2 linked regions of the Danio rerio genome follow. The protein of the gene in region 1 purifies or fractionates together with the protein of each later gene. This does not show direct contact. Links are inferred from orthologs where the notes say so. Each region holds a gene or a part of one and is shown on either strand. Other genes may lie near its edges.

Evidence for each region.
Region 2: the proteins of tesk1a (region 1) and rabepk purify together in Homo sapiens (affinity purification with mass spectrometry; 3 studies listed by BioGRID and IntAct, with this or other methods). This does not show direct contact. The link is inferred for Danio rerio from reciprocal best matches to the Homo sapiens genes TESK1 and RABEPK.

What each region holds. Positions count from the first base shown.
Region 1 is NC_133176.1:43,314,115-43,317,950, forward strand, and holds part of tesk1a (dual specificity testis-specific protein kinase 2), read right to left. Parts: coding exon 3,801-3,836; intron 3,720-3,800; coding exon 3,636-3,719; intron 1,596-3,635; coding exon 1,509-1,595; intron 1,398-1,508; coding exon 1,301-1,397; intron 1-1,300. UniProt on the Homo sapiens protein: Dual specificity protein kinase activity catalyzing autophosphorylation and phosphorylation of exogenous substrates on both serine/threonine and tyrosine residues.
Region 2 is NC_133180.1:2,011,587-2,015,208, reverse strand, and holds the end of rabepk (rab9 effector protein with kelch motifs), read left to right. Parts: intron 1-1,729; coding exon 1,730-1,879; intron 1,880-2,676; coding exon 2,677-2,876; 3' UTR 2,877-2,921; downstream 2,922-3,622. UniProt on the Homo sapiens protein: Rab9 effector required for endosome to trans-Golgi network (TGN) transport.

The sequences.
Region 1 (3,836 bases):
AGAAGTAGAACGTTTCGGGAACTACTTCATATCATTAATATCATTAACTGTTTTAAACTAATTATTTGTATTATTTTTATAATTTATTTTTAATGATTATAAAGATATGTGTAACAATTCAAGATTTTTAAATCAAACTTTAATCCATCACTTGCTTTTGTTCATATCTCAGACAGTTTTACCTATTAAAGTTTATTTAAATATTAATGACGAGAACAAATATACAAATATATCTTTTATTATGGCAAGAATAAAAGCAAAATAGGTACACTTACTAAAAAATACAGACTTTTTTAGATTTAGCCCACTCCACAATTGACACATTACTGTCTGGCTAGTTTTTGTCCTCTACTTATGCAAAAAGGCAATAATGGTCCAACATTTCTGACCATTATCTCCAATAAAGCCTAGAAAAACAGGGCTTCAGCGTATTGTAAATGGATAGGTTCAAATATTCCTTTCCAGTTATAAAATAAACAATTTGTTCCTTAATTATATTTTTGTAATTAATAAATTGTTTTAAATGTAAAATTGTAATATATAGCTGCATCAATGTAAAAAAAATGGTGGAAAAACATATTTCTGTAATTGTTTATTAAAACCACCTGGGTCTCTACTTTTGCCATGGCCTCGCTTGACTTAAACTTATCCCTCAGGTTTTTCCGAACTTTTACAAAAGCCATCTTCCTTTTCAACGACTGTTGCAATTTCTAGCCAAGAATTATTGATCATCTGGTTATCCCTATGATTCTGCATGGACCACATCATAAAGATGTCTGTACAGTCGTACGGTTTCAGATAAAATATTCAACTCAAATCAAACACAGCACCGCACGAACTGCTTGCTCAAGTCTCAAAAAAATTTGTGAGCTCCGCCAGTGGAAATCATGTCGCGCATCCTCAAATCGAACCTCTGCAAACACAGCGATGACATCACATTTGCAGCACGCACTCAAGCAAACTAGCAGACACTTGGAGTATAAACCAGGCTTAAATGTTCTTAATGTGTAATTATAATGTAGTCACTTAGAAATCATTGGGTCATATAACCTAACTGCATTGATTAGAGTTATGTTCAGGGTTATGTTTAGTGATAGTAACTAGTTATTTCCCATTTTATGTAATGATATGGTAAGTACATAGTGCTTACCCGCAAAACTGTAAAACAGTGCAACCCAAAAACCCGAAAGTATCACAAATGTTCGAATATTTATGTCTGACTGAAAATGATAGTTATAAATACGAACTCATTCCACTCCAATATTACTGTCAACCATGATAGAATTTTACTTGTACTCACCCAGGATGACTGGAATTTCACTCTTCACTCGTTCTCTTTCTATCCTCTCGAGCATCACTACAATTTCAGAGAAGGCAGGACGACTGTCTGCATTCATCTATCACAGAAACATAATAACAAATATGAAAATGCAAATATAAAATAACTTCAGTACTTAACTCTGGGAATGTGAAATGTTAGTTTAATTGTCTATGGATATATAGCTTACATTGCAGCAGTCGACAGCCATTTGAAGAAATGAAGGTGGACAGTCTCCCACCATATGCTCAAATGTGTCCACATCCAGTCCAAAATCCTACAATAAGAAAAGTCATATTTCTTACAGTATGCACTACACTGGACAGACATCTTCAGACTTGCACCATTGCAGAAACAGCACAAACGATGTTGGATAATTATATAATATTATTAATATACAATTGGTTTGTACATTTTTTGCTTAAAAGAAACAATAACAGTGTATTTTTGTGGAAATATGCAACATGCTGCTTCTCCACCAGAGGGAGACAACACATTAAAACTGCAGAAGATTATTTTATTTAGATGTAGATTCATCACTGCATTACTTGGTTAATATAAGCACAAGTATAATGTAAATAATACCATAATACCCTGGAGCACAAATATCGACTTAAATTGCACAAGTATATTTTTGTCAATCATTCAAAATACATTGAATACATATAAAATCAAAATACATCTAGGTCAAAATTATTAATTTTTCTTTTTGTCAAATGTGATTAGTACAGTCATGTTTCATGAAGAACCATACAATGAACAATCCATACACCAATGGAAACCTTTTTATTAAGAATTATTATTATTATTAATCATTAAGAATTCAGGTTATATATATATATATATATATATATATATATATATATATATATATATATATATATATATATATATACACACACACACACACACACACACACACACACACACACACACACACACACACATACATATACACACTCACTGGTCACTTTATTAGGTACACCTGTCCAACTGTAAAGTTCTAATCAGCCAATTACATGGCAGGACCTCAATGCATTTAGGCATGTAGACATGTTCAAGATGATCTGCTGGAGGTTAAACCGAGCATCAGAATGGGGAATAAAGGTGATTTAAGTAACTTTGAATGTGGTATGGTTGTTGGTGCCAGATGAGCTGATCTAAGTATTTAAGAAACTGCTGATCTACTGGAATTTTCACGCACAACCATCTTTAGGGTTTAAAGAGAATGATGCGAAAAAGAGAAAATATCTAACAAGACATAATGGCCAGACTGGTTCAAGCTGATAGAAAGGCAACAGTAACTCAAATAACCACTCATTTCAACTGAGATATTCAGGAGACCATCTCCGAATGTACAACACGTCCAACCTTGAGGTGGATGGGCTACAACAGCAGAAGACCACACCGAGTGCCACTCCTGTCTGCTAAGAACAGGAAACTGAGGCTACAATTCACACAGGCTCAACAAAATTGGACAATAGAAGTTTGGACAAACATTGCCTGGTCCAATGAGTCACAATTTCTGCTCAGACATTTGGATGGTAGGGTTAGAATTTGGCGTCAACAAAAAAATATGGATCCCTCCTTAATTGTATCAATGGTTCAGGTTGGTGGTGTTGGTGTAATGGTGTGGGGATATTTTCTTGGCACACTTTGGGTCCATTAGTACCAATTGAGCATTATGTCAATGCCACAGCTTACCTGAGTATTGTTGCTGACATTCGCATCATGGATGTGCAGCCAATATGCAGCAACTGCTTGATGCTGTCATGTCAATATGGAGCAAAATCTCTGAGGAATATTTCCAGCCCCTTGTTAAATCCATGCCACAAAGGATTAGGGCAGTTCTGAAGGCAAAAGGAGGTCCAACCCTCTACTAGTAAAGTGTACTTAATAAAGTGGCTGGTGGGTGTATATTGTAAGTATACTTATGACTAGTTTTGTTTCATTTAATGCAATTTTAGACTATAAACAACAGACTTTCTGCATCAAGTAAACACATTAGTTATGCAGCTGTATAACCTATGGTACTGTACACTGACATAAACCTCTCAAAATTTAATTACACATCACAATGTCACATACTGCAAAATCTGTACTCAGGAGCTTCACATGTTATCCTATGCATTTACAGCCTGCAAGCCATGTGTTTGATTCCCCTGGTCTAAGACTTGCCCTTGATTAAATTTAGCTTTAAAATAATATTTCAAAGAAAATCTTATTTGCCTGACTCAAAGCTTGTATATTTGGTAAAGCACTGCTTGATTCTAAGCCTGATTCTGTGCTTCATGTTCTGCTGTACAGTTGTATGTACCTCTGTCCGTGGGAGGATATCTGGGTCAGCCTCAATTCGAGCAATAATCTCACAAAGGATTATTCCATATGCAAAGACATCCACCTATGATATGAAAACAGCGTAAATAAAGTGACACAAGCACACAAGCAAGAGTGTAATGCTGAGTTTTTAAAGGCAGAATACCTTCTCATTGTACAGCTCTCCTCTTAACATTTCTGG
Region 2 (3,622 bases), on another chromosome or scaffold:
AATAAATGAAGTGCTGTGGCGTTTTTTTTTAAACATCATGTGACAACAGTGCCACTCCCACCTGCCGGTAGATACAGGTACTGCTGAACAGCTGACCGGACACAAACACTGCGTGAGGTGGAATGTGCGTGATGTACGCCGTAATTTTCAGTACTTAGATAACAAATTAATTGTTTTACACCATTATATATACTTATATATTATTTATTATATATACTTATATTTTTATTTAAGTGCAACACATTGCAAAAGATCAGGGGCTTTTGACAATACATCAGGGGCTTAAGCCCCCAAAGCCCCCCCCTCGCAATGCCACTGCTTCCGTATTGGCTTCCTGAGGGAGAGCGGGAGGTTGCCGCTTGGTTTGAAGTAGCCTCAAAGAACCATAGCTGCGTCCCAAATGGCACACTATACACTATGCACTCATGCACTATGTACTTATGCACTTACACACTCAACAGGATAGTATATGTATGTAGTGCTGTCCCAAATGGCACACTAATGTTTTTTACTAAGCGGAAATTCAAACCGTTTCCCTGATGACGTTTGACTGTTGCAAATCAGTGAAATAAACGACTGAATTATCAAGTAATACCTGCCGTGAGTATTGCCGCATTTACCATCCGGAGGCGCTATAATCACTCTCGTAGGAGAATTTTGCTTTCACTATCCAAAATAAATAAAGTTATTCAACACGTGCGTCCGATCGCTCCGCCCCTTCCGCTACGTAAGCAAACCTGCGGTCGTTTAGTGCGTGAAGTGTCCATCATTACACACTTCATTTTAGCGGCTGAATGAGTGCATCATCCGGGTAATTAAAGTGCACTTATTATTTTGAGAGTTTTCAATGTGAACACACTACTTACACTATTTATACTACAAAATGGCGTAAAATAGTGCATAAGTATGCGATTTGGGACGCAGCTCATGTGCTCCATAAAAACACTAACTTCTCTCCTCTTCTTCTTCTCAAACTTTATACCCTCTATGTATCTCACCCGCGCCATCTAGTGCCCTGTAGTATCCCTTAGAAAAGTATTTTCCTTTCATTACAAGTGACAGACATTTCATTCTGTTACAAGAGACCACAATAATAATAATGAGCATAACAACAGTTTATCCAATATGTTATGTTTAGATTAAAATAATAAATTATATTTAGATCAAGAATCATTTAATGGCATATTAAAAGACAGTGTTTCTAGAGAAATAGAATATTAAATGAGAAAACAGTGGGCGTGGCTTGTTTTTTCTACTGTGAGCTGATTGGATGTATTAAGGTAGGCGTTTCATTCAGAAAGATGGGTAAAAGGGCGTGGGGAGAGTTATTACAACCTAACAGACTCCTCCTGCTCATCATTACTGTTTGATATCAAAACTGACAACTGGAGGGGCGTGGTTAAGTATGATAGCCACGCCCAATTCCTTGGACAGACCTAATCTGAGAATTGAACTGAAAACATACAGGAAGTGCATTTGCAGATTTCAATTAAAGATTACAAGAGCAAACTACTGTTCTTAATGACATGCACAGATGAATTGTTCAGCACTAAACTAGCGATGAGAGCTAACAACATCACTGTGGCTAGCTTTGATTTCATGTGTACTTTAAAATAAATAGATAAACGCATTGAAAAAGAAATTGCAGAGTAAAACTGATAGAAGGATTGGAAGTAAGGTTGTATAAATGATACCTCATTGCATGTTATCATTGTCTTTTCTTCTCCAGAGTCTCTGAAATGGCAGAAGGTGAAGGCTAAAGGTGATCTCCCACCCGGAGTCGCAGCTCATTCATCTGTAACATTCAACAAAAACATCTTCATCTTTGGAGGAATGACGGCAGACGGAGCCACAAACTCCATGTTTAAGTTTCAATGCGGTACGATAGCATCACAATATGACCAGCTTTTCTTTAAAGGGGATTTATTATGCCCCTTTTGTAAAATAAGATGCCAAATAATGTCTCTAAAGTGTGTGTAGAGAAGTTTGAGCTCAAAATATTACACAGATGATGTTCTCCAGCTCTCTGAAACTGACCCTTTCAGGCTTCGATACTAATCGTGGTGTTTTGGTGACTGTCGCTTTAAATGCAAATGAGATTCTGCTCTTTTCAGAAGAGAGTGGAGCTACAGATGCATATGCATGAGCATAGTGACAGATGTAAACAGCAGTGTGTGTGTTATGTGTGCTTCAGTGTGAGTGTGTGCTTGATGCTTCTGTCAGTCTATGTGGCTCCTCTATCTAAAACTCCACATCTATAATCCTCTTAGTCTATGCTGACATTATCTTCAGCAGCTCAAACACTCTAATGGCTAATGGACAGACGGCTGCTTCTCACTCAGGGCTGCTGGAGATGCTAATGAGATGGAGAGATGGGCACTAGTGGGCGGGGCTTTCCCCCTCTGATGACACGTACAAAGGGAGAATGTCAATCACAGTGTTTCACTCATCAAGTCTGATTAGAACAAACTCAATTAATTACTGTTGAGCATTAGATGCTGCTGGAGATATTCACACACAACTGTGTTTAAACCCCTCATTAAGTGAATTTTGCATAATAGGTGCCCTTTTAAATGTATGGAGTCTTAAAAAAAGGTCTTAAAAGGTATTATTATTTACTAATCAACAGCCTATCATCAATTTTCCCTCATGTTCTGCTTGTTGTTTCTTCCTCAGATAAACAGCGCTGGACTCTGCTGAAGTTTGAGGGGGATCTTCCTCCGGGTCGGCTGGATCACTCCATGTGTTTACTGCCGTGGAGAGTAAAGATGGAGGACAGCGAACATGCAGACGTTCAGCATCTGTGCTTTGTCTTTGGAGGAATGGACACTCAGGGCGTCATATTCAACGACTGCCTTGTTACTGTGCTGACGTGACCAGTGTGCTTTAATATTCAATAAATAAATCCTCAAACCGCTTCATTTCATGTCCACAGGCCTCCCGCTCTAAACTAGATGTCAGATTCCCTCATTTTCCCTGATGACTATAAAGCTGAATTTCCAGAAGTGGATCCCAAATCGCATACTTATTACCCATTTTGTAGTATAAGCAGTGCATTTACATATTTAGTGCACTTTAAATACACAGATGTTGCACTTTTTTAACCTTTGAATATACACTCACCGGCCGTTTTATTAGGTACACCTGTCCAACTGCTCGTTAAGAATCTAATCAGCCAATCACATGGCAGCAGGACAAGAAGATATGCTGCAGTTCAGAGCGAGCATCAGAATGGGGAAGAAAGGGGATTTAGGAGACTTTGAACGTGGCATGGTTGTTGCTGCCAGACGGGCTGCTCTGAGTATTTCAGAAACTGCTGATCTACTGGGAGTTTCACGCACAACCATCTCTAGGGTTTAAAGAGAATGCTCCGACAAAGAGGAAATATCCAGTGAGCGGCAGTTCTGTGGGCGCAAATGCCTTGTTGATGAGGCCAAAGGTCAGAGGAGAATGGCCAGACTGGTTCCAGCTGATAGAAAGGCAACAGTAACTCAAATAAGCACTCGTTACAACCGAGCTCTGCAGAAGAGCATCTCTGAACACACAACACGTCCAACCTTGAGGCGGATGGGCTACAGCAGCAGAAGAGCACACCGGGTGCCGCTCCTGTCAGCTAAGAACA